Drosophila melanogaster: one gene and its partner. The protein of the gene in region 2 interacts with the protein of the main gene of each other region in a pairwise test. Each region holds a gene or a part of one and is shown on either strand. Other genes may lie near its edges.

The links.
Region 1: the proteins of TwdlW (region 2) and CG9286 interact in a two-hybrid assay, tested with the Drosophila melanogaster proteins (one large-scale study listed by BioGRID).

The regions. Positions count from the first base shown.
Region 1 is NT_033777.3:13,772,113-13,789,737, reverse strand, and holds CG9286 (uncharacterized protein), read right to left. Parts: upstream 8,775-17,625; 5' UTR 8,685-8,774; coding exon 8,562-8,684; intron 8,501-8,561; coding exon 8,374-8,500; intron 8,315-8,373; coding exon 7,671-8,314; 3' UTR 7,656-7,670; downstream 1-7,655. Other genes in the region: Dip-B (dipeptidase B), read right to left, coding at 4,285-5,421, 5,479-5,577, 5,645-5,921, 6,897-6,910; CG9288 (uncharacterized protein), read right to left, coding at 9,070-9,714; CG42375 (uncharacterized protein), read right to left, coding at 9,734-9,895, 9,951-10,031; CG9297 (uncharacterized protein), read right to left, coding at 11,412-11,828, 12,030-12,485, 12,774-12,946, 13,182-13,503, 13,562-14,208, 14,279-14,356, 14,433-14,510, 14,569-14,646 and 4 more.
Region 2 is NT_033777.3:17,129,647-17,145,175, forward strand, and holds TwdlW (TweedleW), read right to left. Parts: upstream 12,759-15,529; 5' UTR 12,667-12,758; coding exon 12,652-12,666; intron 12,581-12,651; coding exon 11,669-12,580; 3' UTR 11,562-11,668; downstream 1-11,561. Other genes in the region: CG17475 (uncharacterized protein), read right to left, coding at 1-737; CG4053 (uncharacterized protein), read right to left, coding at 1,650-1,722, 1,786-2,510; CG31266 (uncharacterized protein), read left to right, coding at 3,039-3,815, 3,881-3,952; CG31267 (uncharacterized protein), read left to right, coding at 4,574-4,773, 4,940-5,567; CG5246 (uncharacterized protein), read left to right, coding at 6,559-7,377; CG5255 (uncharacterized protein), read left to right, coding at 8,265-8,973, 9,033-9,145; CG5265 (uncharacterized protein), read left to right, coding at 9,461-11,392.

The DNA of each region.
Region 1 (17,625 bases), 3.4 Mb from region 2:
TTCAGATTCCCGAGCCACATCTTCTTTGGCCTGCTAATCCCATCGGCGCGGACATCTTCATCAGGCTAGATTAAAAGCAAATTGGCTGACCAGCTTCGCTCTCGCTTGGCCAAAAGTGATTTCGGCCCTGACCATAAAAATATTTGCTGCTGCAATCAATTATGATCTGGCTGGAAGTGTGTGAGACTGGTTCAAATGCATCTGTGTGAAAAGCACTGGGAGAAATGAGAGGAGAGATTTTTTATCTTAACTAAGACCCTCTTCAGGAAAATATTAAGATTGTAGATATTAACATATATAGGTTTGTTTGCATTTCGAAATTGTTTTTTCAGTCTAAAAATGATTTTCGTATGAATTACCTTCTTACAACATTACTGATTTGCTAAGCTTTCAACATTAATTATGTTGCATTTATAAATCTTTGCTGATCATACATATACGTTTGCTATAATTTGTTTAGCCATTAATTTAAGTGAATAATTAAAGTTGTATTTACCGTTGTGTAAACCCAATTCAAATCCACTCTCATGAAATTTAAAATTTTGTATAAAATCTCTCTTCAAGAGTATTATTTTTCTAATCTATATTACCCATCTTCATATAGATAGGGTATCTAGTATCTTGTAGTGTTTAAACTCGCTTATCGGCCCGACCACACCTTTCGCTCAAATTGCGGGTCTTGTGACCTTTGGCAGCCTTGACAATTGTTGCCGCCTTTGCCCCTGCCCCTTCCCTTGGTGTTTGCCTCAAGTTCAAGCCTGCCGGCAAACCTGAAATTGCCACATGCGGTGAAAGTAAAAATTCATAATTTTACCCCCTCCTCGGCAAACTCAGTTGTTAACATTTTACCCAAAGAGGCCATAAAAATGGCAAGCCAACTGCGAGGAGGCAAGCTAGCAACGCCAGTGCAACACCGAGCCAAGCGGCGTTGGTGGCAAACAGCGAATGCAACACCAATACCAAATGCATTGGCATGCAGTTTTCCAAGCCCCTTTTTACCACTTCATTAGCCGACGAGCGGGTCGAATTGTCGGTTTTCAGTCTTTTGGGTTTGGGTTTTTAGTTTTCAGTTTTCAATTTTTGGCTGTGGTTTTTGGGCCTTTCCTTTACTTTCATTCGCTCGGCTAGGAGTTTTCCGAATAATTTTGCCATCAAGGTGTGGGCCAGCCATACATTTTCCTCGCCAAGGCTGAGGCCGCGTTGATCATGAACATGACACAATATTATGGATTATGAGCCGACTTCTCTGCACACAGAGAAATATTCTAAACTCATTCAACACTTTGGCCATAAATGCTTAGGTAAGGATTTTGGAAATTATATAAGTGCAAGCTAAATATCATATTATAGGGTGGTAATTTATTTTGTCATTATTGAAATCTCTTTTAAAAAGATATATTATAATATATATATATAATATATTATATAAGCATATATTATTTTTTACATTTTTAAAAACATTCTACTCCCTTTTAAGTACATTTATTATATTATGAAATTACCCATTTCTTTTCCGTGCATACCAGCCCAGCCTGCTGTGGGTTTGCCGATTGTTTGGTTTTCCTGAAACGCTGCTGACAGAGGAAAATCTGTGTGGTGTGGCAAAAACATTTCAATTCCTTTTCCAAATTCGACTGGAGTTCATAATTTAGCGTTTATTTATGAGTTGTCAAGTTGCTTGGTACGTGACTGGTCGGCCTTGTTGGATTTTCAAGTTCAGGGCGCCGGCGCCTCTGGGATCCCGTATCCCGTTTAGATCAACTTGATATTTATGAGTTTATGCAGAAATTTGTCTGTTCTCAGGCAGGATCTGTTTTGGCCCACCCACGCATAGGGATTCGTGGGTTCTCGTTCATGAATGAACAACTGCAGGCGGGGGAGGACATTCAATATGGATCCTGGCAGCCTTGAACTTGGTACGTTCGAGAACTCGATGATTTGAGCAGCTGCTGCTGTTGATGCTGCTGCTGCTGCTCCTGTTGCTCTTGTTGCTGCTTTAACTGCTGCATCATCTTCCAACTGGTTGGGCACATGGGAAACTGGCCGAGCTTTTGGGCCAGGATCAAATGACTATTGGCAGCTGGGTGCCTCAGCTTCCGATTCACACGCTCCCTGCTCATTGAAGTGAGGCCAACTGGCTACGACGAACAGCCTGCCAAAGGGGCTACCAAATTGGCTAACAATTTTCAAGCGGCTGCCGCTGCAATCATTGGATTAATTTTAATATGTCCATGGACTGGGCTGCTGCTTTCGACCTAGCCGGCAGCATCTATGATTATGGGCTCACGGCATCGACTGGCCGACAAACACATGTACATAAATGTAGCAACATTGCTGCCACTGGAATTGCGACCTCTTTGGTGTTGCTGCTGCTGCTGCGGCAGTTGCTGTAGTTGCTGCTGCTGCTGTAGCTGGTTACGAAACCCCAAGAAAAACTTCCGCATTCATTTAAGATCATTTCTGTCGTTTGCTGCTCCAAGTGGTTGCTGTTGCTGCTGACGCTGCTGCTGCCGGTGCAAGAGTTGCAAGTTGCAACAAGCAGCAGCAGCAGCAGCAGCAGCAACACAGCCCCCCTCATTTGGTGTTGCTTGTCTGTTGTTTGCTATTATTAATGCCGTCGCCGCCACCGCCGACGTCTTGAGTCCCAGGTCCCCAATGGTATGTTTTCTTCATTTGCCGTTTTCGCGACTTTATGGATCGGGGAGCAACTGCAGCACTCACTTGGAGCCAGTTCGTCTGCTTCCAAAAGACAAGCGCCCAATTGACAAGGTGTTTTGGTGATTGTCCATACCGGATTGTTGTTCCTCATTGCTGTTGTTGCTCCTTGGTCTGTTGTTTTTGATATCTTACTGGGGGGCCAGGCGTCATGTCAGCTGCTTTGAACCAACATTCAATGCTACCTCACATATTCCAACAAAATCATTTAAATTAAACTACGTTAAGATCGCTATAATTTTACGTGTAAGATTTTTGACGATTTCTTTAACCACAAATATACGCCATACGGTTTTCCGCAATCTCAATACAAGCCCATAAAAATGGATGCCAATAAAATCGATTAATCATCTGCCGCATGAACCAGATTTGGCGGATAGTGGCCAGGAAGCGTCCAGGAACCAGTCCTGCCATAATCAGGTCAACTGATGGTCCGTTAAGTGGTCAAGAAGCCAGAAAGCCTCCCAAGACCAGAGATCTTCCCTCTTTTCTCCCACTTCTGTTGCTGCTGAGGCCTTCTTCTTGGTTCGTGCCGCCTTGGCAATAAATTCACACTAACGGATTGTAAATGGGAGACAAGTCAACGAAAAAGACTTTTGCGTTCATCAATAATAAGTACCGTTAGCCCGGTCAGAGTCCAAGTGTTCCGACTTGGCCAGATGACCAAAAGTGGCCAGTGTGACTGTCAATAAATTACCCAGAAGCGCACCCATCGCAGATGGAGAAAGAGGTTGGAACCAAGTTGGTATTGGTACGGGAGAACGGCCAAGAACGGGAAGAGGCCGCAGTCAGAAGCCAGAAGAAGGCCAACGGGAGCCAACGGTATATTATGCAATCACAGCATGAATGAGACACTCTTGACCGAGTTTCCAAAGCCAGGCAATAACGGTACCAAGACACATGCGACAGCTGACAAGCGGGCCCCATCCACATCCCCATCCCCCAACCAAGCCAATCCACGCCAAGTTGCTGGGCCAAGCTCCCGGGAACGGGGCCCAAAGCGAAGAGCATGGCCAAGAAGCGACTAACGGGTTCTAGGCTGTGGGCCAAGCTACAAAAAAAGAAGGCGCTGCAAAGCTGAAGAGAAAAGGCTGCGAAAGGGGAAGAGCAGGAGTACGAGCCATACCGTAGATGGCCAACAAGAGCTCGAAATGCAGGGCACCCGCCAATTATGCAAACAATGCAGCTGGGAAATGCAGTAATAATAAAAAAGAAATAAAAAAGACCGAATACCCACGCGGCTTTCTTGTATACTTAACAAATATATGTAGGGTGGTTATTCTCTATAATGGGATGATATAATGTTTATATTTCCATGTTGATGAATATAATGAGATATTTGCTTTGTAAGCTTAAGGAAAAAAACAAATCATTTTCACATTTATTTGTAAACGATTACCAAATTAGTGACATACATTTATGAATACAATCTGAACTCGGTTTTGCCTTTATTAAAAAACAGTGATGCAGTTAGTAGGATAATATTGTTGGTTAGCTAAGCACGTGGGTGTATAAGTACTGTTTGTGGTGATCGTGTACACATCCTCCTGAATATTAGGTGGACATGATTTACTTCTGCAGATGGGTCTTCACCAGGGAAACAAGAGGGGCAGCTGTGGGCATCGCTGGGTGCTCACCGGCACTGCCGGCGATATCAATATGGGTGTACTTAATGGGCAGCATTGAATCCAACCCGTGTTTGTCCAGTCCAGAAGCCTTAATCATAAAGGCGGCGGGCACCTGGTGACCGCGAGGAGTCCTCACCGACGGGGCATTATTGGCCTGCACCAAATCCTCGCCAATCACCTTTCCAGCGTTAAAAGAGAAGTCACTGGGACGGAGAATGGACACTTCGAAGGGCTCTCCGAAGGCCTGTCCAGCAGCCTGCAGTCTTCTGGCGTGATCCTCCCGATGGGCCACGCTGTTATCGATGGCAATCGACTGACCCTCACCTGCCGAGATGAAGGCGTGACCAGTCAAGGTGGCAATGGTGAAAAGATGCGGATCCGGGAGATTCTGCTCCACGACCAACTCCTTCATGCGGCACAGGGCATCGGTCATGCACATGCGACCCTCGGCATCAGTATTTCCAATCCTCACATGAAGACCAGCTCGCGAGGTGATAACCTCATCGGCCACGTAGCACTCCTCGCCCACGGAATTGCGCACCATGCACAGGGCAGCCACAACATGGATATCATCCGGTTGCAGTTGACTGACCACCTGCATGAATCCAGCGACAGCAGCCGCTCCACACTTGTCGCGCGACATACCGGCCATCACACCACCGGCCTTGATGTCAGCACCACCGGTGTCATAGGTAACACCCTTGCCGACCAGCATCAGAGTTTTTCTCGCCGGCTTTGGAGGCTTGTACTCCAGGAAAATGATGCGACCACGATGACGCTCCACTGCATCAGCAGCCCGGTTTACGGCGGCAAACAGGGGATACTCCTTCTGCAACACCTGGGTGTCACTGATCACATTCACGTTGAGCTTGTCGAACAACGGCTTGATGTACTTCTCCACCTGGATGGGCGTCATGCGCTCCGGGTCCCCAACTCCGATGTCGCGGGCCACAAAGCGACCGGCCTCCAGAATGAGAGCTTCCTGGAAAATAGCTTCGGCCCTTGGATCATCGATCTGGACACTGAGCGTGGTCACACGGGGGTCCTTCAAAGTTCCTGCCTCGCGCAATTGAATGGGCTAAAAAACGTGTTTTAGCACATTGATTGAAATAAAAGTAAACATAATCCATATTACCACATAAAGCTGCTCCAGAGCTCCCAGAACGGTGCAGAGTTCGACCTCGGGGAAGCGCTTAACCTTGGGCACAAACAGCAACGGCGTGTGGAATCCAGCCTGGCAAAGAATACATATACATTTTCTTTCATAATTCACACAATATGTATAGAAAAAAAAAACCCACCTTGAGAACCTTCTCCATGGACCGCTTGGCCGCCTCCTGGTAGCTCCTCACATCGTCGTAGTCGGTGAGCTCGGAGACGGGGGCATAGACCACAGGTTGATCCACGTTGGGCACCTTAAAGCAGGATATGCTGCTGTCGAAGGACTTGTCGAATTTGCGGTGCTCCTCGAAGGTGGCCTTCAGTTCATTGGGAACCGCATTGCGATCGATGATGCACAGGCAGTCGTTGCCGGCCAGACTCATCAGCTTGTTCAGCCGGAGGGTGCATGGTAGAATTCTGGAGGGGCACACGTAGAGTAGAGTTAAAGTGCGCAACGGAATCGTTATTGGTATTCATTAAGAAACATTTCTGGGTGTCAACTAAATGTGCAATAGCGTTTAATTGAATTGAATTTTATCACGTCACATTTGCTTTATTAACTGATGCAGTCGTTCATATTGCATAACAGCCTGTTGCCTTTGTATTTCAATTTATTATTTCAAAAGAAAATGTCCCCACTGTATTAGGAGCAACCATGGCCATGTTTCAGTGTGTTCCCCTTTCGTTTACCCTCATTCCTGGCGCTGGGCTTATCTTAACTCGAAGTGCTATAAAGAATCGCGATAAGCTTTCGAAATGACCATAATCACAAACCGATTTCCAATTTAGAAACAAGTGTACCAAGTATTAGCACAAATGGTGTTAAAGTACTTATTTAGAATATTTGTAATCTTATTCAAGTGTTTCTACTAAATACCAATCCTTAGGTAACTGGGTCTATAATATTTTGGAGAATAATCCTATGTCGCTGACCATTTAATTGTGTTATCTTTTGAAGTGCCCCATATCAAACAATAAAAGTTGATCTATATATATCTGTTTCCAGAAGTAGCAAGAACTCGTTATCTAAGTAATAATGATAAAATTAAGTGACCTCCCCCCTTTAACTTTTATACAGTATTTCGCCAAACATTGTTTTTATTTTGGGAAAAGATAAAGTTTGGAATTTTCATGACATCTATTCCTTGCCGGCAACTAATTAAAACTGATAAACGCTGAGATATGCAGTACTAAAAACATTCTAATTTCGTTTTGGAATTATGGGAAAGGTAAATAAGATAGCAATTGATGGATGCTAAGCGACTAACCCTCACTGTAAAAGATGGCGAATCTTTGAGAGCTTTTCCAATCGGTCGCTAAGCGGTGGCTAGATAACTGATCCGCGCTAACTTAAAACACACCCTCTAATAACTGTTGGTAATAAATACTCACTTTTCGATACCCATGATGAGTACTTTTTCGCAGGCAGCTCACGCGACTTGGTTGATCGGCAAGTGGGGCGTCACTGAACCTCCCTGATGGGAACAAAGCGCTGCAGCTGGAAACTGGAAACTTGGGAGCGGGATCTGGAACGGAAAGCTGGCGATAAGGAGCGATTGTGATAGCTCTCCGCGACGATTTGCAATGTTCTGGCTGGGTGGCCAAGCTTTTTATACATTTTACTAGCGAGCCGGGCTTTAGGTTTTTTTTTTTTAATTGCTACTTGCGTTTTCGAATGAAAACAAATCGCACGAGCGATGAATAATCGCCAGTATGCTCGCTATGTACGTAATTCTAGAACTCGGATATAACTTGTAAACAATAAAGGCAAAGTCTACTCACGTCGCTCGGTCTTCGGAATTGTTATTGTGGGTTCCTCTTGCCAGTCACGTCCACGGTGGATGCAGTTTCTGGGCCAAAACTAACCAGTGGCAAAAAACAAAGGAATGGCAACCAGGTTTTTTTTTCACAGTAGACCAGCCGGCATGTGCGAAGCTTTCAAATGCCGGCCAAGTGACAGCTGTTTGTGGTTTGCCCGCGTTGCCAATTGTCATAAAGGATGTGGAAAGCTTTCGGTTCGAATTTTTGATACTCTTTGTATGGGACTACAAAGAAATAGAAGCTTATCGGTCGTTAGAGACCGGACATTATTACTTCTTAATTAGATATTTGTCGGGGTGTTATATTAAGGCCAAATAACACAGCAGTTTTAAATGTAAAAAATATTTATTCGCCATTAATAAAGCGTTGTATATCGTCAATAAGCTGCGGAAGTTTTTTGGCCTCCAGGACCAGGAGTTTCCTGTAGGGCGTCATCACGGCATCGCCTTCCAGCCAATCGCCAGACATGCCCGAATCGGTTTCAGAGGCCATGGAATACTCGAAGGAGAACTTAGCCCGATCCGAAAGCAACTCATCCTCAGCGTTGGTGTACACGTCCTCGCCCGGTTTGCCCTTCTTCGACTCTTTCCTGTAGAACTTAACCAGCAGCAGCAGAGTGCCAAAGTCGTATTTCATTTTCTTGGCCTTGGCGGCTTCGATTTCTTGCTGCAAACTCTGCAGCAGTGGCACGGAGATCTGGGCAGGGATATTGATAAAGCGCTCGTTGATCAAGAATCCCACATGGCGCTGCTCGCTGTCTAGAATCTCCTTCAACTGCTGCTGAACCTCCGGAGAAGCGTGCGTCTTGGCGCGATCCAGTATGTAGGTCCTTAACTGGGCGATGCTGGGCTGATCCTTTTTGGCGGTCAGGTTCAGCACAGAGGTGATTCCAAAGATGGTGCCATCCTCGACCATGTTGTCGTCCTCCGTTTCGCTTTCGGTGCCCTCGTCGTCGCACTGGCAGATCACACTGCCTATAAAATTTTGGGCTGGAAACAAAAAAAGTTGTGCTGATAGATAGATCAAGATAGTACCTTGGAGTGCTCACCTATGATCAAATCCGCCATTTGGTTGCAGTTGATGTGGGCACGAAGGAATAGTCGCTGCAGGAGTTGAGAGATTCCCTGGGCATCGGGATCTACTGGAGCTCGTCCCTCAAAGTCGATTTGCACCTCCTAGCCGGATATTAATTTTGAAACACATTTGCTTTTCATATTTTGGAGGCACTTAGATTACCTCGTTTCCCTTATAGGCATCTGGATGCGGTTCGTCGTCGTCATCATCCTCGCTGGAACTGGAGACATCCTCGTTGGGGTCCACCTCCATGGTACTCAATTTCTTTTGCTTATTAGCTGACATTTTTAAGATTTAGTTAACGAATTTGGTTTTGTTTCGCTTCCACTAAATTGCCGCCCGAACAGCTGTTTATCGTCCACACGTGTTGCATTGAGTTGCCAACTATTACGGAGCGTGCTGTTAAGTGGGCAGAGTTCTGTAAATGCACCGGAGTTAACAGGCTGTTAAGAAATAAAATTTACTGGAAATTAAATAGTAGACCCGACATTACATTTGACCATAAGTATTAACAAAATTCACAAGTTTCAGAAAATATTATTTGTGGTTTACTGTCAAAATTATTATTATTTAAGTCCTCATTGACTTTGAGCAATATAATATATGTATGAATCATTAATTTAAAATACAAAGGCCTTATAGAAGAAGCACAACAAAACAAGGGTCAAAATCACGCCTGAATCTCCTTATTTTTGTTTTGAGCGTGGTCCCCGGTGGACTCAATTTGAGGTAGACCTTCGTTTTTCGATTTTAGGCGCTCCTCATACTGCTCCTGGGTTAAAAGACTCGCCTTGATTGCATCGCAGTTTTCGATTTTGGGCAGAAGAATGGCGAAGTAGCCGGCTCCCTCGGGGAGTTGCTCCAGAAGCTTTGGCTCCTCCACAATGGCGGTGTTCACCTCTACCAGCTTGCCCCGAATGCAGCTGGGCACCTTGTAAGTCCCTCCATTTGCTGTGGTGAGCAGTGCCAAGGTGGACTCCGCCTGTAGGATCATTCCGCCCTTTTTACCCTTTCCCTTGACCACATTCTGGCTGCGATCTACGTTCCCTATATCAAAGTTGACCGATGAGATGCCTTGAGCTAGAGCAGGGTGCTCGGGAGCCAGGCAAATCAGACAAATGCGATTGGAGTGGTAGAGCACTTGGTAGGGAACATCTCCCTTGAAGTAGTAATATCTGGTGAAAAAACGATCTACAACACTGGGGTAATCCTCCTGGAAGCTATCTGTAATGGGAGCTACGAGCTTCCCGCAGATCTCCTGCTCCTCGTGCTCGAAGTAGAATGGCTCCAGTGGATCATCTGCTTGTACTGACATCCTGGTTGATTTCTTTCCTTTAGTTACTTTCCTGCTGGAGCAACTTTTCCTTGTACTTCGCCTGACGTTCACGGGCTTTGGCGCGATTAGCGGCGGATCGGGCGATTCTCTCGCCTTTTAGGCACTTGACCACCTTGTCGTCAATGGAGTTGCACACGCCCACAAATTTTGCGAAGGCGTTCTGCAAGCAGAATTCGCATAAATCCCGGTTATAAAATAAAATCCCGGTTACTTACATTTTCGTGGCAGGCCTGGAGTTCCTCGATCAACTTGTTGCAAGCGGGCGTGTGCAGATGTGAGGAAAGATCCGTATGCATTTTCTCCTGATTCCGGCCGGGTTTATTGCCTTTCCACTTTCCTGATTCGCGTGTGTTGTCAAATTTTGTTAGGTAATTTGAACATATGTTTTAACAGAGTGGTATCATCATGGTCACCCTGCCAGCATAACAGATGCCAGATTTGAGCCAAAAATACTATCAAAAATACCGAATGTAAAATGTAATGAATGTAAAAATACACTTTGAAAAATTTTATTGATTAACTCTCTTGCTCTGAAGATGATTACTAAATGATAACGGATGATTGTTACATAAAAACTATTATAAAACAAACTAAATTGCCCTTTACTCATTTGTAATTTGTTTTCCGAAACAATAATACAAATCGTTTAAAAATCAACTGATTTTGAATAATAAAACAATCGATTGCTTGGGGTTTTCTGTTGTTTTTATTTATTTGTGTATTTCACCCGCTCTCACAGTTCATTTTTTACATAGGCTTTCAGTGTGTCAAATTGATTATTTGTATTTTATGTATAGGAGCTGATCTCGCTCGTCAACAAGATTATTTGTTCTATTTAAATAGGTTAAATTCATTATTATCGTCTTCACTGTTTGCTTTTATCAAAAAGTCTTATAAGCTACGAAAATTCGCCAGGGACAGAAACAAGAAACCAAAGAAATTATAACTTTACGAAATTCCATTTGCTCAAAACTCAAATCTCAGATCTCAAAATCAAAACTCTGCGCTGTTGTCCTTTACTATTTGAGGAAAGAAAAGATGAAAAAAAACCGGGAACATGGGAATTATACGCTGCTATTAGCCAATGAGGGGTCGGATTTTAGGGTTATGCTTTGTGGGTTAGAGGTCGTCGATAGTTCGTCTATTAGTTATTGCTCTCAGATTTGGGATAAGTGCTGATCTACTCGCCTAGAAAAGACTCTATGTTCCCTCTCTACTTGGATAAATATGAAATTATTTATTGTGTGTGTGTTTTGCTCTCGATATTGTATTAGTTTCCCTCTCATAAAGCTCTCAGTTCGGTTAAGTTGTAGTAAATTAAATGAAAATAAATATTTCCTGCAAGGCGGTTGAAATTGAAAGTTCTCCAAAGCAAAAGTTGCTTGTTTTTTCAAAACGCTCTTGCCTCCCTCTCTTTCATTTCGCCCTCTCTCTCACACACTTTATCCGGCTTTCTCTCTCTTTAGCTAAGCTATACCTCTCTCTCCTCAAACAATGTCCTTGTTTTTTGTCTTGCGCTGTTGTTCTCTACCGATTTCTGGGGGTTCTATAACATTTCTCCCTTCTCGATATTAATTCCCTATAGACGGTTTCCGGTGCCGATGTCACATTCTCTCTCTATCTCTCACTAAAACAAACTAAATGGCAGGTTTTCTCCTCTGGGAGGAGCCAACACCTCAACTCGTCCTCTTAGGCTCGGCCTGGCCTATGGTTCCATCCTGCTGTTGGGCCTCAATGGCGGCCAACGCAGCCTCGGACATCTTCTTGTACTTGCCGGCCAATTCGGGCAGTTCGTAGGCAATGGCCAGGTCCAGTTTGGTGATCGGACAGCCGCGGAAGTAGGTGCAGGTGTCCCTCAGCTTCTTGAACTCGTACAGCGGATTCAGGCGGAAGAAGTCGCGGTAGACTTCCGGATCCGGAAGATCGTAGCGCGAGATGTTCGTCAGTGTGGAGAGTCCCTCGTAGATGTGGTAGTTCTGCGGATGATCGATGATGTCATCGGCGATGCGCTTCTTGTTGCCAAACAGCGTCTTGTGGTTGTTGAACGTGTTCAGGTAGCAGTCCACCATCTTGGCGTGGTTGCGCACACGCACCTGTGAATGCAAATGGATGGATTTAATTTATTATCAATTCATTACAATAACTATAATAGGAAATGGTTTTTGAATTGATTATGTATGCTCATTTCTATCACATATTCAAATATTCACTGAAGGTTCTTATAACATTGCCCATTTACACCTTCTCTCAACAAAGTAATCGTAATCGTATCACGCATACGCCCGAGTACTCACCGCAAAACGACGTGCGCTGGCGATCTTGTGCTCGATGCGCTTGTCGATGGCTGTGCGCAGGTCGCGCAAGAAGGCGCGCTCCTGGGCGAGCAGCAGGCGGGCGGGAGCACCATCCTGGTAGGGATGGGTCCACAGCGAGGTGGTGTACATCAGCGGCGGCTGGGCGGAGGACATCAATGGCGAGATGTTCCAGATGAGGGCGCCCTGGACGCGCAACAACTCCTCGGGCTTGACGGTGTCTGCCTTGTTGAGGATGATGCGCGTCTGGTACTCGCGCCCCTTCAGCTGGTCGAGAATGGCCTCCGTCTCGGGGCCCACATCCAACTTGGCCGGGTCGTAGACCAAGAAGATGATGTCCGCCCGATCGATGAACCACTGGCAGGCGTCGTTGAAGGGGAAGACGCGGGACACTTGCTTGCGCACCTCTAGAATGCCGGGTATCTCGACGATGTTGACCTGAAAAACGCATCGTCAAGCGCTTAAATATAGTAATTCTCAGCCATTTTAGCTTTGCTATCTGTGTACTGTGTACTCTCTGCCCTGTTCCGCATTTAATTTATTAATAACAAAATTAATGCCCACAGCTTGTGTGCTAAAAGCTATAAATTCCGTTTGGCAGGTGGCCAGCTGTTTGCAGTTTCCCAATCGACGGGCTGCTGCCCTGGGCGACAAGTTAATGCTTAGCGGCGCCCATAAGCATCTCTCCCTGATCTGCCCAGCGAGATATGTTTGCATTTGGCCTACCTTTTCGAGGATCTTGCTCTTCATCTTCAGACCACGCAGGCGCTCCTCCAATCCCTGACCGAACTTCTGGAGGCCGGCAAAGGTGTAGTCCGCCGCCAGTTGAGTGCCGTCCAGAACCTCCGTCTCATTGCCCCACATCAGAATGTTGAAGTAGGCCGGAGAGGGTTCAGCACCTGTTGCGGGTCAAAGAAATGTATAAACAAATGTTTAATAGGAAATTGTATACAAATCATTTGCAACCGTCCAAATGGAAAATGGAATTTCTATACGGATTTGTTTAGAATATTTAAAAAAAAGAATGTAAAATACAAATTCAGCGGCAATATATGTATATTATAAGGAAATTAGATGTAATATATACATAAATAAATTTAATTACATAAATTTACCATTCATTTTTGTACTTACCAGTTCTCAAAGAGTTCGGCGTGTACTCATTGTCGGTCAGATAGTTAAGAATGGACGACTTGCCGCCGGACCAAGGACCCATGAATAGAATCAGTGGCTTTGAGAAGATCTCGGGATCGCTGAAGTGGCGGTTGCTCAGATCGCGATATTTGTACAGGGTCTCCAGGGGCTTGACAGCATTCTCGTAGATGCGCTTAATGTCCCGCAGGATGATCTCAGCAACGTTGTCGGTAGCCTTCTCACGGGCATTGAACTCCTCATCCAACTGGAGCAGTTCGGTGATGTGCTGGCGACTGCGTCGGTTCTCGGGAATGTGTCCTTCCTAAAAATTATAAATTAATTATTATTAAAATACTATATACATCTTTGTAGAGATTTACCCAAAGAAGCTCATCCTCTGGCTTGGTGTCATCATCATCATCAGCGGCATCTTGTGCGCCATCGGTTTGTGGTTCATCTTCCTGTGCTTCCTCCTGGACAGCTTCGGGTTCTTTGGGAGCGGCTTCAGGCTGCACAGATTCCTCCTCAGCCTCAGCCTCCTCAACTGGTGCTGGCTTTTCCTCCTCCTTCGCTTCCGCAGATTCGGCCTTCTCTTCTTCCTGCTGGACTGGTTCGGGTTGCACTTCCGCTTCTGGTTCCACTACCGGTTCCGGTTCGGGTTCCTGAACAGCTTCCTGCTCGGGCTCCTCTTCTTTCACAGCCTCAACTTCGGCTTCCTCTTCGGCAGATGCCTCCTTGACGATTTCTTCCTCTACGGGAAATTCTTCGGCGGGACTTGGTGGAGCCTCAATGTCCAGAACAGGAGCAGCATCCACTTCACGTTTGCTTCGCTTCTTGACCGCCTCCTTGTCATCCTCATCATCGTCGTCATCATCATCATCGGCATTCTCACCGCTATCCTTGTGATCGTGTTCATTGGGAACTCCATCGCCATCCACATCACCGTCGTGCTCGTTCAGGATGCCATCTCCATCCAGATCGTCATCCTTTTCATTTGGCACACCATCACCATCTAGGTCTTCATCCTCTGAAATGGTTAGGTTTACATTAAGATTACTAAAACAGTTTTTAGCTATTCTAAGTCAATATATACATACGAGAATTGTTGGTACCATCGCCATCCAAATCGTCGTCCTTTTCATTCTTCACGCCATCTCCATCAAGATCTTCGTCCTCTGAAAATAAAAAACAAGTTCAAATAAAAAATGTTTTATAATAATTCAAGACTTTTTATGCTATAATTATTCTTACCGTGATTTACTTTGCCATCTCCATCCAGATCCTCGTCTTCGTCATTTTTCACTCCATCACCATCGAGGTCTTCATCCTCTGTACATTTAAATTTTTAATTAATATTTAGCCTTTAAAAATATGTCTGTTAACCCACCGTGATTTATTTTGCCATCACCATCGAGGTCATCATCTTCCTCGTTGGGCACACCGTCCCCGTCGAGATCTTCGTCCTCTGAAATATTTAAAAAACTAGTGAGAGACTGAAGAAACATAAAAATTCGTTCATAAGTAAGCTAAAATGTTGAAATAAACAACGAATTATAGCGCAAAATAGCTTCAATCTGAAATAATAAATGCGAATAGTTTAGAAATTAAACTGCAAGTAATATCAGATAAAAATAAACCTAAAAACCAAATATACAAAGCGTATAAATGAAGCTATATAAATATACAACAGCAAATATTAAATATAATTTATGGTCCTACCATGATTTGGAGTGCCATCACCATCTAGATCATCATCCTCTGTGAGATAAAATCTTAGATGAGAGCATTGTAGGTGGATCAGGAGTACCATGATTCTTACCGTGATTTGCCTTGCCATCGCCATCGATGTCTTCGTCCTTGGAGTTGGGCACACCATCCCCATCGATGTCCTCGTCCTTGGAGTTGGGCACACCATCCCCATCAATATCGTCGTCATCTTCATTCGGGATGCCATCGCCATCGATGTCATCATCCTCGTCGTTCGGTATGCCATCTCCATCGATATCATCGTCCTTTTCGTTCGGAATGCCGTCCCCATCGATATCATCGTCCTCGTCATCGGGTATTCCATCTCCATCCAAATCGTTGGCACTTTTCGCGTCCTCTGTGGAATCCAATTCGACAGTTTCAATTTCAATCGTATCTTTCTCATCAACCGCAGAATGCCCACCATCATCGTCGTCATCGTCGTCGTCCCCACGTGGCTGATCGGATTGCAGTTCTCCAGATCCATCCCTGACACCATCTGAAATCGTATGAGTACTCCGATAGATTAATAAAAAAAAATTAAATGGCTAAAAGGATTTTCATTATATTTTAAAAAGATATGACGTTGATTTGTAGCTATATGTTAATTGGTCTATTAATACAATTTATTAACACGTACACGTGTATGAATGTTGATGGTTGAGTTTTTTAAAACATGGAAATTTTAGGATGAATCATTCAATTAAGGAGCAGATTTAATAACTATATTATTAATTCATAAGATGGTTTTAACGCAATTGAAATTCTTCAGATACTCAAGATAGCCCTTACCTGTTTTCAATTCATGAATAGCCTTTTCAATGTAGGGTCGACATTCTGATTCGCTTGGTCCGACATCGGCATTGACAAACCCAACTGAAAATCGTTAAAGAGAACATGACAGGTCAATTTGTAATACGAGTATATCCAAACATACAGCCCAGATATCGGAAAGTCCAAGTTATTTCCAACCGCCCCATCCTAGAACAATGGTCGCACTTTCTCGGTTTGATGTCACCGCCATCAACGAGGTCATTCTATCTGCTCAAACTTGACATTATTTATGGTACTCGTCGAAAGCAAACATACACACTTCGGAATATATATATATATGTATGTGGCGGATTTATGAATTTTATTTTTAAAAGATGAAAACTCAAACACATTTTGCCAGTTTGTGGATGAGTAAATTTCTATACCATTCAGTTGGCTGCTCGCCCACTTTGGCCTTACTTCTTCAGTTTTTGTTTCTTTTGGCCACCTTACTGCTCCGAAAAATCCGGATGCGGGGGCGAACCATTTGCAATGGAACATTCTATTCTCTTTCCACAGCATTTGCTTTTTGGTAATGGAAGGTCGCGTTTTGAGTGATTGGTGGACTGAAAGTATGGTAAGGTCGCTTGGCTAATTACTTTGGAATTTTCAGGCACTTGGGACAAATGTCGTCGAGAGATTAGAGGGATATTCGTACATATATCTGCCAACAACCTGAGCTCAATTAATTGCGATTTAAATGAGTTTGCCTATCAGTTTTCAGTGTGCAGTTTGCTTGTCGGCGGATAATTCTTTTGATTTATTTCTGGGCGTATGTGGGCGGAAGCTATTTGAGCAATTTCGTATTTTTCATTGCTAACCGCATTGATAGAATTATTTATACAAATTTCGCCTGCCAACCGATTGCCAGCCTGCATATTGTGTTTATGTTGCTGCAATCGAGCCCATCTTAACCCATAATATATAGTACACGGCATTTGTGCCGTTGCTCATTTATCATTCAATTTTTTCTTTTTCTTTACTGTTTTGCAAACTTGAGCAAACCAAACAAAATATATAGAGAGACATTTCGCACACACAGGCGGGAAAATAGATAAATGGAAAGCACTCGCTGAGCGCAAATAAAATAACTTAAAAATATCTAAATTTAAAATATTACAAACGATGACAACGATGAGCGGCCAAGCGCAAAAATTCTCAGTTCTCTTAAGAAAAAAAAAATAGGAAAAATCGGCAAAAGTTATACATCTGTATCTGTATCTGTGCTGCCACTAGTTGGTTGGCCAAGTCAAGTGTACGGGGCTATACTAATATACCAATGCTCAAAGTGTCGTCCACTGACGTTTGCAGACACCAATACCGACCCGAAAAAAAAGAAATAGAGAATGTATAGAGAACGCACAAACTCAGGCAAATATTTTTAAACGTATATATTAATACATATTTTTTTCAGACTCGTTTCTTCTGTTTTTCTTGGCTTTTTGTTTTAAAATTGCATAATGCCTGCCCAGGCTGTGTGAAAAACTGTCAAGATATTCGAAAAGTGCCAACTCGCCCTTTTGCCTTATATAACGCGGGGAGGAACTGGGGGTAATACACTGCAAAAAACATTCGAAGTGTACTTACCATTATTGGAAACGGCGATTAACGTTAGTCCCAGTAGGAACCAAATGGTTAGCCGCCCCATAATAATCAACACAACAAATTATCCTCGAGTTTCCAGCGTGGTTAGCACTTTAGCCACGTCATAAATCCTCCTTACAAGTTTTCCGTAATTATGAATAATTAGGGAAAATTAGAATTAACACTTTTGCTCGTATTCTGCATATATATGCATCCGCTATATATGCGCTCGTTTAAATGCACTAAATGAAAAGGATGAAGAATTGGGAAAACCAACGATTATTTAAGGCCAGAGAGCCAA
Region 2 (15,529 bases):
CCCCAATTGACCAGACCGTAGAGTACTCCGTTGTGCGTCAGCGGACCGCCGGAATCGCCATGGCAGGCTCCTTGTCCACCAGTCGTCAGTGTGCAGATATGACATGGACCGTTCGACGGATCGTTGTTCATTATCTCCTGGCAAGTCGAGTACACGACATGCGTGAGATAAGCCTTTTGCAGTATATCGGGCGTATCGCCCCAAAGTTCCGTTGAGCCCCAGCCCGTGAGGAGCAACTGCGTCCCATTTGCCACCGGAGCTGTGGGCAGCTCAGCCGGTTGAGTGTACTCATTGAACTTGATCGTATCGTTTAGCCGAATCAAGGCAATATCATTGTGGTAGTCGGGACTGTTGTAGTTGCAGTGAATCCAATGCTCCTCCACGAAATACACGGCATCCGGCTTTTCGTACTCCACAGTTCCTGTGATCACTCGCAGATAGGTGGGGTTATAGCCATATACGCAGTGGGCTGCCGTCAGGACATGGCGTTCGTCGATGATGCATCCGCCACATATGTGACCTCCGTACATTCCCTGCAACGATATCTGGTACTTGGCCTCGCCCAACTGCACATCTTCGCCATTGATTACGCGATTCTGGAAGTTGACTCCTTCCGCCTTCGAGATCCACTCCAGCTGATCCTCACTAAGCTGCGCCAAACGCACGGCGCTAATGGGCTTATAGCAAGTACAAGCTAGCAGGATCACCAGGATCTGCACAACACCCAGTCGAACCATAATGGTGGTGGGTGCTTGACTTTCAATGCGACAATTAAGCCTGCATATGGGCAGTGATTTTTCTTTTATACTCGAACGTTTTATCGTAAGTCTTGGGGTTTTATCGTAAATCGAAATCAATGTTTCCGCCCCAAGTATCTATGTCATAAAGCCTGATATCGTAAAAAGATATAGACGCACACTGATTATCATTTTGTGACAGGGCAATCAATGTCAGCGCCGTCATTGGATAAGAATAATATCTAGAATGGTCACTTGCTGGATATTACCACTGGACTTTGTAAAACCGAGGGTTGCATCTATTACCATCCACGTCAAATATCTAAATGATATATTGATTTGATCAAGCAAGTCGTATTTTCCAATATCATATTCTAATTGAATATATTTTTAATAAGGTTTCAAAAAATCTTGAATCTTTTAAAATCATCTCATTTTTGGAGATGCCGCCAGCGGTTGTTTGCAATCAGGAAATTTCTCTTTACCATCTTCAAAATTTACTAATTTTTTTTAATGCATACCTAAAAGTCTAAATAAAAGCCGATCTATAATCTGGACTATACATTTTGATAACGGAAATGCAACGAATTGAACAACAACAGTATTCTTAGTTTACGAGATGATCCATTTGAATTCATTAAAAGTAATTATCACTATTTATTACATTAGATTAGGCCAAATAATTTCACATATAACAAACAATTTTTCAGCCCTAGCATGACATTATCTTATGCCATAACATGTTAGCAAACAGTTCCATAAAATTGTGATTGCCCATCTAAAAGCAGGCAATGACCACATGAGTAAGGGTAAAAGTTATCAGCGTTGCTTTAGTCAATACATTTATTTCACATATTTATACAAAAATACATCATAATGATGCCAGTTAATCGCTCTCTCCTTGTATCTCTTTTAGTTAACACGATTCTTGCATCCTGAATGAGTCCTGCGGATCCAATCCTGATAGTAAACCGTGTTGGCATACCTAAAAGGATTGACAATTGATTAATTCCCACCTTTAAAGGGGAGTGGATATACACCATCTTACATGTCTGGCATGCCGACGCCGCAGGCTCTGCCCCAGTTGACCAGGCCCACCAGTTTGCCCTCCCACATCAGTGGACCACCGGAGTCTCCGGAGCAGGCACCCTCGCCCTCTCGCGTAAAGGTGCAAATATGACCGATGTCGATGCCATCGTGAAAGTCCCATCTCTCTCTGCACTCCTCGTGTGCGATGATGGTCAGGTTGAGGGTCTGCAGATATTGCACTGTGGGATAGCTACTTTCCGGAGCACCCCATCCCGTCAGAGTGACCGTGGAACCCGCCGGAGGTTGCTCTCGGCTCAACTCAACGATCTGGGTGCGATCATTGAATATAATCGACTCGTTGACATGGATCAACGCTATGTCATTATTGTAGACATAGGGTATGTCGTACAAGCAATGGACTAGGGCCTCGTCCGGAAATAAGGTCTGTCCTGGCTCCAGACGATCATTCGTGCCCACTATAATCCTTAGATCCTCGATGCTAAAGTCCAGTGCACAATGACCCGCGGTGAGGATCCACTGTTCGTTGAGAATGACTCCGCTGCAGATGTGGGTTTTCCAGATGGTCTGAATGGACACCTGATAAGGTGCCACTCCGTCCTCCGCCTCCTGGCCACCCACAATGCGATTGTCCAAAAGTTTACGATTGTCCAAACGCTTTCCGCGCGTGACGTCAATGGAAGTGCCCAGCAGAAGCAGCCAAATCAGAGACAAACGGACAGCCATCATCCAAAACAAATATTTCCGAGACGAGGGACAATGCCGGACAGCGCGAATTAATGACCAGCAATGGAAAATTGTATGACCCAACTGAGCGTTTTTATATGCATTCCATATAAACCTATTTTATCGCACATCGGGAGTTGGCTCACTTGGGTTTTTTCGCGGCCAACTGACCACTGGCCAGCAATCTTTATGGCCATTCGCAGTCAGGTATCTTTACGGCTGCAAGGATAAAACCCAATCGGTAAAGGCGGAACGTCCAATTGGACCTGGTTGCTCATAAACCCATGGACTTGTGTGACACGGCAAATCTCGGCACTCTATAAATGCACCGGTCGAACTAGCGAGTCAGCTCATAATGACCACGGCCGCAATGCCGCATATGCCACTTATCGCCGTGTCCAGACCCATAAACTGCCTATTATCCAAAATTCGACCAAACTGGGCGATAAGATCCGTCCTATGAAGTGTAATTTTAAGGTGGCCCGGCTGAGGGGTTTTAGTTTCGATTGTACCGCGCATATACCAACCATGACAAATAGGTGGAATCTTACGGTGCTGCTGGGTCTGACTCTGCTGGCTCTTCAGGGGCCAACGGAAGCCATGAGGATGCGAGGAGAACCACTTCCGGGTTTGGCCAATATCGAGAGGCATCGCTCCACCGAAGCTGTGCCCCAAGGTCGTGTGATCGGTGGCACCACCGCCGCCGAGGGCAACTGGCCCTGGATAGCAAGTATCCAAAATGCATACTCGTATCACTTGTGCGGAGCCATCATACTCGACGAAACTTGGGTGCTCACAGCGGCCAGTTGCGTGGCGGGATTGAGGCCATTAAATCTGCTGGTTGTGACTGGAACTGTGGACTGGTGGGATCTGTATGCTCCGTACTACACTGTGAGCCAGATCCATGTGCACTGCAACTTCGACAAGCCGCTGTATCACAATGACATAGCCCTGCTGCAGTTGTCGTCCAAAATCGAGTTCAACGATGTGACAAAGAATATAACCTTGGCGGATATCGATGAATTGGAAGAGGGGGATAAGTTGACCTTTGCCGGTTGGGGCAGCTCCGAGGCCATGGGCACCTATGGTCGCTATCTGCAGGAGGCATCCGGCACATATCTGCCGGTGGACGCATGCCGGGAGAAGTTGCAGAACCAAGATGATGTGGACCTGGGTCATGTGTGTGTCCAAATGGACGCGGGCCAGGGCGCCTGCCATGGCGACACTGGCGGACCGCTTATCGATGAGCAGCAGCGCTTGGTAGGCATCGGTAATTGGGGTGTGCCATGCGGACGTGGCTATCCGGTAAGTATTCCGCCTATATCGAAGAGTAATATATGTATTTATTGCCACCTATTATTATCCACTAGGATGTGTATGCGCGTACTGCCTTCTACCACGATTGGATCCGCACCACCATGAATGGATGTACGATCGCCTAGTCATGGGTACCTCGTATCTGTGCACTGAGAGAAATGCGGCTCATCATGCGGCCAGAGATTTTAAATATGACAAATATATTTTAAAAGCACTATTAAATATGATTTAATCATTAAAGAATGTATATTTTTTCTTATCACTAATACGTTTTCGAATCTCAGTTATTTCTGGGCAAAGTATTTTTAAGTATGGGATATTTAAGCTCAGTTCTACTTGCTTAAAATTATTTGTTTCAGGGTTGGTGTTTAAAAAAATATTTTTTTTGGTTAACGTTCTGAATTAAGCATATATAGCCTTTATCATAGATTTTAATTAAAATAACCTTATCTAACAATTTGTTACCTTATGTAACTGAACATTTTTCATTTTTTACCCAAGTGTATGTACTGGCAACATGATTTGTGTTGATTTGCTGATTTATAAAAAGATATGGGATTTTTACGAGGGGAGAATTTGTGGGTTTTGTTCAGGCTGACCATGATTGAGATTGCAATACCTTTATGGCGGCTCATTAATATCACGCCAAATATCTAATATCGTATACTGAATATCGTTTATTGGAGCTTAGTTTCTTTTTAGCTGCACTGCTTTGCAATTAGTCCAACTTCAGCTGTTCGTCCAAGATGTCTTACCAAACCGGAGCGGTTTCTACACTCGTCCTCGTCCTGTTGGCGTTATCCTTTTCGGAGGCAAGTTTACGCCGTCGGGCCTTCACTTCAGAAAAATCCGAAACCGCGAATAAATTTAGCTCCCGAATCGTCGGAGGAGAAGAATCCGATGTCCTGGCGGCACCCTATCTAGTCTCGCTCCAAAACGCCTATGGGTAATTAACTTATCCTTATTTATGTTATCCTAGTTTCCCTATTGGTAACAATTACTAACGTATTACCACAGAAATTATACTATTTTTTTAAGCAATATATTTTTTTAGTGTCTTAAGTAACATTTTATTTTGAAGTCTAAATAGTGAATTATGCAACTCTTTTAAGTAACCACTTTTGTGCCGGCTCCATTATCCACGATCAGTGGGTCATCACCGCGGCTAGTTGCCTGGCTGGATTGCGAAAGAACAACGTGCAGGTGGTGACCACCACCTATAATCACTGGGGATCGGAGGGCTGGATATACTCCGTGGAGGATATCGTCATGCACTGCAACTTCGACAGCCCCATGTACCATAATGACATTGCCCTGATCAAGACGCATGCACTATTCGATTACGATGATGTCACTCAGAATATCACAATCGCTCCGTTGGAGGATTTGACCGATGGTGAAACGCTAACCATGTACGGATACGGCAGCACGGAGATCGGAGGAGATTTCTCATGGCAGCTGCAGCAGTTGGATGTAACCTATGTCGCGCCGGAAAAGTGCAATGCCACGTACGGCGGTACTCCAGATCTGGATGTGGGTCACCTTTGTGCCGTGGGAAAGGTGGGAGCCGGAGCATGTCATGGAGATACCGGAGGACCCATCGTTGACAGTCGTGGTCGCTTGGTGGGCGTTGGTAACTGGGGCGTTCCGTGCGGCTATGGATTTCCCGATGTTTTTGCCCGCATTAGCTTTTACTACAGCTGGATTATATCAACGATTAACGGATGTGCTATTTCCTAAGTGCAAAAATTCGTATCAATTACTTTTATCCTGGAAAAATAACTTTATTCAATAAAATACTGTAAAAATTGTGGTACGCATTTTCAATATCGCCAGACGAACATTTTTATATTACCTAGTTTATTACGGATGTTCCAAAAGATACATTGTCTCCTAAATTATGTCAAAGTCCAAAATCCAGTATGTGAAACAATTGATTAACTTGAAATCTTGATAATCCCTCGTCCAGACGTCTGCCAATTGTTGTAATTGCGGGTGATAAGTAAAACGTCAAAATTTCATTGAAGCCATAAAAATGAACTGGTTTTTCAGAAACAATATAATACACTACCAAACCATGACACACAGAACTATGTCTATACAATATATACTTTTTTAGTGTTTGATAAAAAACAAAATAAGTAATAAGTAAGTAGGTTTCCATATCGAAGTTATCTAATTTATTTTTATAAATCCTTTAATATTTGTTGAAGATTGTCCTATCTATTCCTTTAACTTGCCTACCCTAAGGGTATGCCGACTTCAGTATCTTCAATGGGCCTTCAATCATTTCGCTATTATTCCAGGTGAATTTCAAGTAAACTTCCATCCGATTACGACCCTATCAACCGACGACGTCTGAAGATCTGCCTAGCACAACTCGAGTTAGCACAAAGTCCGCCCCCGTTGCGTATGAGTAATATTATTACGGTCGTGTGCTAGTTGTCTATCACTCTCAGTCCAAATGGCTATAGAATTCCCCCTATCAGGTTACTATATACGGGCTATGGAAATTGTCATTATCGAAGCTTCCCCCGAACTGAGACGCTTATCGCAAAAAATATTTAAAAGAAACTCTTCGAGAGATAAGGAAATTTTGCACAGCGCTATAAAAGCGATTTTGGTGCCAAAAAGTGGGCATTCCGCTTACGGAAGTTGAACACAACACAACACTACAAATTACAATTATTACAATTAATTGAAACAAATATTTCAAGATATTTGAGCCAAAATGAAGTGTCTAGTACTGATCAGTGTTTTGGTGATCCTGTCTCAATGTTCGGCGAAAAGCGTTAAGATTCATCGTCGTCACCAGTTAAATCATCATTTGGGCCATGTGAAGCCCGAGACCCGTGTGATTGGAGGTGTCGATTCCCCCACTGGATTTGCTCCCTACCAGGTGTCCATCATGAATACCTTTGGCGAGCATGTTTGCGGTGGCAGTATCATCGCGCCACAATGGATCCTCACCGCCGCCCATTGCATGGAGTGGCCCATTCAGTATCTGAAGATTGTCACCGGCACAGTGGACTATACGAGACCAGGAGCGGAGTATCTGGTAGATGGATCGAAGATCCATTGCAGTCACGACAAGCCAGCCTATCACAATGACATAGCGTTGATCCACACGGCTAAGCCCATTGTTTACGACGACCTGACTCAACCTATTAAACTGGCCAGCAAGGGATCACTGCCGAAGGTGGGAGATAAGCTAACGCTGACGGGATGGGGCAGCACCAAGACCTGGGGAAGGTACTCCACCCAGCTGCAGAAAATCGATCTGAACTACATCGATCACGACAACTGCCAGTCTCGAGTGCGAAACGCCAACTGGCTGAGCGAAGGACACGTGTGCACCTTCACCCAGGAGGGCGAGGGATCTTGCCATGGAGACTCCGGCGGTCCTTTGGTTGATGCCAACCAAACCCTCGTCGGCGTGGTCAACTGGGGCGAGGCCTGTGCCATTGGCTATCCGGATGTGTTCGGTTCGGTCGCCTACTACCACGATTGGATCGAACAGATGATGACAGACGCTGGTACCGCGTGCTAAAGGTCCAAAAGTCACCCGTGGGGGTACAAAAGCCAAAACCGAACAAAAATAGCAGCTGCCATCTAATGGCTTCTGCAAATTGATCAAATTAGACTGTAAATTTTATTACTTAGATATCAAAGATATCATAAAATATTTATGAACGAATAAATGAACAATTGCGCTTCAGTTTAAATAAAAACTTTTTCGTATGTCATGTTCTTTAAGGCGGGTGTTCAATTTTAGCACTTCTCCAAAGCCCAGTCATTCGTATGATCCATCATTATATTCAGTTCTGAGAACTGAGTCAACAAACAAACAAGCGCCAGTTAGAAAGAAGTGGGATATCAGAAAGTATTGACTATCACCTGTGGCATTACTTAATGTAGAGATTAGACTCGAGTATGATTGACTATGGAAATAAACAATACCTAAGTAGTTTTCCAGCAGGTTCTCAAATTATAAGATAATTAAATAGAACTGATTGAAAGACTACTTTGATTATAAGTCGATTCAAATTTTTAAAGAATTTCTTTAATGTTTTCTCATATGTCAAAACACCAAAAATTTTGTGGAGGGATAATGTCACTTAGTTGTGACCTAGATAGTACATATATTTGTTTATTGGATAGGCTTTTAATGTAGTTAAATAAACAGTTTAATTATCGCCTTGTTTCAAGTTCCTGTTATGTAAATTTAGAGTGAATCGTAGTTATCAGAACAACCTTATTTGTGCTGAGTGGTGGTTGGTTGCCTAGAATGAAGGGTTCTCCACTCAGCTGGACTTTTTCAACCAGATATTGGCTGCGAAACGTGACTGAACTCGTAATTGTAAATCGCAATTTACCTATAAGATACGTTTACAGAGGTGTTACGATATTCAGTAATTCAAAAGACAAGGAGTCGTTATGTTGCTCATTTTGTTACCACTTGTTCTGTTCACTTCGAGTGCCGCAAGTCAGATCCTATATCCGCCGCAGTATACCAAGAATCGCATTGTGGGCGGGGAGGAGGCTGCCGCAGGTCTGGCACCTTATCAGATATCCCTTCAAGGAATCGGCAGTGGAGCTCATTCCTGTGGCGGTGCTATCATCGATGAACGGTGGATTATAACGGCGGCTCACTGTACAAGAGGCAGACAGGCGACGGCATTTCGGGTCCTAACAGGCACACAGGATCTGCATCAAAATGGATCCAAGTATTACTATCCCGACAGGATTGTGGAGCATAGTAACTATGCACCACGCAAGTATCGCAACGATATAGCTTTACTGCATCTGAATGAATCGATTGTGTTTGATAATGCCACTCAACCGGTGGAACTGGATCACGAGGCCTTGGTTCCAGGATCCCGACTCCTTTTAACCGGTTGGGGAACCCTCTCCTTGGGCGGAGATGTTCCCGCCCGTCTGCAGAGTCTGGAGGTCAACTATGTGCCCTTCGAGCAGTGTCGAGCTGCCCACGACAATAGCACTCGGGTGGACATTGGCCACGTTTGCACCTTCAATGACAAGGGACGCGGAGCGTGTCATGGAGATTCCGGTGGTCCTCTGGTGCACAATGGCAAGCTGGTGGCTCTGGTCAACTGGGGACTGCCATGTGCTAAAGGATATCCAGGTAATAATAATTTAATATGCGTTAAATACATATTAAAGCTCATTTACTATATTCTACAGATGCTCACGCTTCAATTTCATATTATCACGACTTTATACGCACTCACCTAAGTCTATCCAAAACGGACAGCTCTGAGGATATCGAGGAGGAAATGATTGCTCTCCAGGATTAGTGACAAGATAGACATTATAATAACATTATAAAAATCTTTCAAACTCTGAAAATATAAATGAAAGCTATAAAATGAAGCATATCTAACGATAATTTTTACACATTTTTAGAAGAACGTATAGTGCTGATTACATTAAAATGTATAGTTTGTATTAAATTATTTTAACTAATGTAACTGATCAATGCAAACTGGAAATTTACTGTAACAATGTGGCTATTTTTGTAAAAATTCGTAAAAATTATACATATATTTGGAACACAAGTAAAGTGCGCATTGCACTTTTTAGGGTAATTCTTGAGAACCGCCAAGGCCGACATGAAGTTCCGTGACAATGGAAAGGTCCTTTGGAATTTCGCAAGGATATCGGCTCTGCAACAGACTCGATATACGTTCGGCAAAAAAATGCCAATTGCCAGCTATAGCACTGCCAAGGATAAGCCTAAATCCGATCAGCCAAACCTTCTAAAGTATCATGTCTTACCTCTTGAAGAAATCCTCAACCGCTTCATGATTACCGTACAACCATTGCTGACACCCGAGGAGTTCAAAAAGCAAGAGAAGATTACTAACGAATTCCAGAGGAAGGAGGGCGCTAAGCTACAAAAGCTCCTCGAAGAAACTGGTGAACAGGAGAAGAACTGGTTAGCCCATCGCTGGCTGAAGGTTGCCTACTTACAGTTTCGGTCGCCAGTGACTTGCTTCTCCAGTCCCGGCATGACCTTTCCCAAACAGAAATTTGAAAGTGTCCACGAATTTGTGGACTACACGTCTAGGGTTATCTTCGGTTTGGGTGAGTTCAATGACTTGGTGCACGCCAAAAAGATTCCGATTGTGAAAATGGGCAAGAACGAGCTGGACAACAGTCAGTTTGGAAAGGTTTTCGGCACATGCCGGATACCGAGAAGGTTTACCGACGATATCGTCTACAATCCGTGCTCTGATTATGTGGTGGTTATCTACCGGAATCACTTTTATCAACTGAAAATATACGACAAGGAAGGAAAGCTTATAATTGCACCATGTCTGGCTGTTCAACTGGAGGAAATAATGGCAAAGGAAAAGGAACCGGGAGTTCCTTATGGAATCTTGACCACCGATTCGCGGGACAACTGGGCCGAGGCATACGAACACTTGTCAAATACGCCCCGTAATAGAGTTGCCCTGAAAACCATTCAGAATGCTATGTTCACAGTGTCCCTCGACGAGTGTACCAGTCCAAAAGAAGGTCGAGATGCCGAAGAATTGATCCTTACGCTGATCCATGGAAAGGGCAGCAAGTGCAACAGTGCCAACCGCTGGATGGATAAGACAATTCAATTGGTGGTAAACCCAAATGGACACGTTGGATTCACCTATGAGCACTCACCAGCCGAGGGCCAACCGATCGCAATGATGATGGACTATGTAGTGAAGAAGATGAAGGATGACCCTAGTTATGGGGAATGCGGATCGGAAAACTTTATTCCAGCGAAGAAAATAAAGTTCTGTGATGTAAGCAAATGCGTGGAGCAATGGTTGATAATCGCGCAAAAAAACGTGGACAAACTTGTCCAGGACCTGCAAATGAAGGTTCTTAAGTTCGATTGCTACGGCAAGGATTTCATCAAGAAACAGCGACTTGGTCCAGATAGCTTTGTTCAGATGGCATTGCAGTTGGCATTCTTTAAATTGCACTATGAGCCAGCTGCTCAATATGAATCGGCGCATTTGCGCATCTTCGATGGCGGCCGAACCGAAACCATCCGTTCGTGCTCCAATGAATCCCTGGCTTTTTGCCACGCCATGGATGATGTGAGTGCATCAGCTCAGGAGCGGGCTAGTAAGATTCGCGAGGCAGTGATGTGCCATCAGATGTATGCGAAGCTGGCGCTTCTGGGAAAGGGTGTCGATCGTCACCTCTTTGGACTTAAACTAATGGCGGTGGAGAACTGCCTACCTGTTCCGGAGTTCTTCTCTTCGCCAGGATATGTAAAGTCCACGCACTTTCGAATGTCCACTTCGCAGGTGGCCACCAAATATGATGCCTTCATGGGATATGGACCTTCTGTAGAAGATGGATATGCCTGTTGCTACAATCCCCGTGAACATGACATCATTTTGGCCATATCCGCATGGCGACATTGTCAGGCAACTGATCACCAAAAGATCGCCAAGGCGCTTGCGCAGTCCTTTGCTGAAATGAAGGATGTACTTGAAACATGTCCAGCTTCAAAAGACAAGCCGCCAGAGCTTAAGTGCAAGTATTGAATGTGTTTTCCTAGAACATACTTTGGATCCAAAAAAATTCCTCTTATTCCAATAATACGTTCGTTCAGTTTGGAAAGCTAAATTCATTCCCATTTAGTGGGACTTATTAAAGTACTATTAATCACTTCTTAAAATCGTCATCTAGTTAAAATTCAATGGTTTTTTTTTTAACAATTATATTTTAATACGGATTTGGGTAACATTGGCAAGCACTTAAACCTAAGTGGTGTTGATGACAGCTAACTAGATCTGGATGTGACGAGCAATGAAGAATACTTAGAACTGGTTCGCGGGCAAATAATGATTGCCGATGGGACCGACGCCAGAGTTTCCGGCACCGTTCTCCGCAAATTGTCCCTCTGAATGTTGCTGCTGTTGCTGTTCCTCCTCCTCCTCCTCTGGAGGATCCAGGGATCCCACCACCGAGGTGATGGGGGCCACACCCTCGTCGGTGATGGTCGAACTTCCTCCCAAAGTATCGTACTGTGACTGAATCTGCCGCTGGGCATTCAGAGCTTCCTCTGGAGTGCGGTACTTGATGAAGAACACCTCCGGCTTATTGATGTGCTGTGGCGCCTCGGCAATGGCATCCTGCAGATCGGAGGCGGTCGTCTTCTTGGCCAGCACATAGACCACGGTCTTCTCCTGCTTAAGGGTCTTGGCCAAGTTAAGAGCCGCCGCGCGATTGGTCTGAGCCGGCGTCTTGACGAACAGCACATTGTAGTGGTTACGGGGCTGCTGGGCCAACTGGTTCAGCTCGTCCTGGACCTCATCCTCAGACTCCTCGGGCGCCGAGTGGATGAAAAAGTTTTTGGTCACAATGGGACGCTTGGGAATCCTGACACGCGGACGAGCGCGTCGCTGCTGCTGGATGGGAGCGGTCTGGAAATTGACGGGGAAGCCGGCGGGCATGGGAAACGATCCGGCTGTGGGACGAACTGCAGGCTGGGCAGAATGGAACTGGCCAGCGGGCGGGAGGTAGGGCAGTGGGAGAGGTGGAAGCACCGGGTGCGAGGATTGCTGGGGCTGGAGCTGCTGCTGCTGCTGCAGTTGCTGGTTCAACAGGTGGGCCACAATGGGCGGTTGCTGTTGCTGCTGCTGCTGTTGGATGCGGTAGTTGTAACCCGCCTGGGTCAAGCTGATGTCAGCCTGGCTGAGGCTCAGGCACATGGCGCCCATCAGAACCGTCTGAAAGAGAAGCAATCATTATAATCCCTTGTAATCCAATTGGCATAGAGGTAGTCCAAGTTCCAACGCACCACAAATATCTTCATGCTGCCGCTTGGGTGGGTGTCTCTCTGCTGGTTAGCTGTCTTAAGCCGGATGCTCCCTCGCTGTCCGAGTTTCTTAGTGCTGTGATGATGGGTCAACCGGGCACCTGGCCTTTTATACCAATCCACGGGCCCAACTTGTTTATAATCGGAAACAAATCGTGAAACAGCAGCCAACACAGTTGCAACAGTCGAGGGGTCATAAAACATTTGTTATGCGTGGCGAAGAGGTTGTTCGGATTCATTTGGCTGGGTGGCAAGTGGGCTTTTGTATCGACTTTACATGGGGTTCCACAAAAGTCGAGCGAGAGGAAGCCCCAACAATGGGTGATACAGATACGACAAAAAAAAATCTGCATTTGTTGTAAACAAGTTAGTCGAGCTGTAACTATATCATTTTGAACATTTGCCTTATAAATATAATATATATTAAGTGTGCGTTCACTCCAAGCAAGTATCTAATACGATTTCAGAATATAAACAAAATTCAAATAACTATTCATTCATCAGATCCCTAGTAACTATACTAACTTCAATCTCAATATTGCAATTAATTCATTGAATTTGATTATAGATTTATATTTAGATTTTTTCATACAGGCAGTAAAAACATTTATTGAGAAACTACTTAATCATTTAATTGTAAATATAATTAAAATACCCAAGCATATCCATGGCTGCCAAGTGGACAATCAAATCGTCGTTTAAATTAATACAAAAGTTTTGTTTAGCTTCGTAGTTTTTGCAGATCAGTTGAATGTCCCAGAGTAATATGTAAATATTGATGACGAAGATAGGCGGACGAGGTTACTCGACCGACTTAAAATGCACTTTTGTCTACGGGACCATTGTCTCTATTTTGTTTTATTGTTCGAAACCTGAGCTATCAAATGGAAATTGAAAATTGTATATGCCGGGGACTTCAGTATTTCGCATCAGTTTTGGTCTGGCCCAAGGTCTAGGTTTTTGTCTCCATTCGATGGGGCGTAAGTGTTGGGCGATATATTGTCAGCTTTAAATGTGCCAAATTGAGACAAAATGATAGTATTGAATTTGAATTGGATTTCAAACTAAAAAAGTGAAGGTAAATAACCCCCGATCAAATCGAAAGCACAGCGTATCAAATGGATATGCCAGCTTCCAGCGGAAATTAGTTGTCATAACAAGCAGATGCATACGGAATACAAGCAGATATAGACCTTATAGGGCTAATTGGCAGGTCTCCATACTAATGGAGTGAATGTGCAAATGGTGTAATATCGAAGCGGAGATAGCAAGCTTTGCTGCTTCCTTTCCAATTTGGACTTACACACTTGCCACTTTGCCACCTGAGATATATTTCAAAATCTTGTGCATCCGACAGGGTGCATCTCATTAGCCGGGTGAAATTCTGCCCACAAATCAAAATAAACCAGCCAAGGGCAACTTGGCCACCAGATAATGAGTTAGCCCACATGTTTTCTGGTCGATGCCAAAAAAAAAAAAAAATGGTTTTCAACTTTCTCACGCCAATTTCGTGAGCCATGAAAAACAGTGAAATGGAACCGAAACTATGTTCCCTTTTTGGGCCATTAAAGATGCAAAGATCTGTCAAAGAAATATACGATAAGTTGTTTTCTGTTTGTAATGGGAAACCAAAATTACTTTGTCATTAATTAATAGATCTAAATGCATTAGTTCAAAAGTAGCAACAAGAGAAAATTACAATTTTAAATGGAAATAAAATGCGACCATGATTAATGGGTGCCAACTATTGCCGCACTTTGCATATTTTATGCAAAATGAATAAGTTGCCAAAATCTATTGAATGCAAAACACTCGGTGCGCAGATTAGTCAAAGCATAAAAGTGAATGTTGACGGTACACAAATTATGATTTGCGTAACAAAACTATTTTATTTTAATTTATTAATTCACACCATGAGAGATTTTGACATAGGCTACCTTTGTCCATTCCTATGCATAGCATTAGCAACCGAATCCGAACCCAAACTACATCCACCTGCGAATCCGTATCCCAAATCCATCACATCGAAACGATTGGGCGATAAATGCCCCTGCGATCGATGCCTACCATCCATCCGGTCGTAATAAATGCATTTTTAATTATTGGCCTAAAAATGGTTAAAAATTAATTATGGGACACCTCGAGCTCACAACTATTTTCGGATGACCACAAAACCAAAGAAAATAAAATGTTTTTTTTTTTTTCAATAAGCATGTGTATCGAATCATGTTTTGTTTTTTCTACGCTTAAGCTGACAGTTTTACATGGGCTGTTGAACAAATACTGACAAATGATTGAGGATCGATTTCCGACATATTTTAATAGGATAGTTTCTTATTCGTTTCAAGTATAAGCAACATAAATATGAAATTTTGATAGGTATTTTTGGATCCTTTAGACACCCAATTAAATGATATCAATCAATTTATTGACAGTAAACTGTTAACTATTCAATTTATTGATTAGACTGGCGTTTTACTCAAAATTAGTTAGATAATTATTCGATCCGGCTTATGCAACACGCGTGCTAAACGAACTCAAGCCATCGGTCTCACAGAAACGATTGTTAAAATACTTGCTGTAGGCCAAGATAATAATGTTAAGTATAATGACCCACACATAGTAGTACATAGGTCTAGAAAGCGCGGCATTCATAAGAAGTTAAGGGACAAATGCTGTCGAACAGATTCGGTGACTTTGGCCCTCTCACAATTTGCAATTCACATTCAGCTATCGAATTCGATATTAGTGGTTCAACAAGTGTTCAATTAGTTATTCTAGTTGCGTGTATATATATATATGTATATGTTTATAGTATGTTTAGTTTATGTTTCAGGCGTAATTTTGTGTATTTAGATAA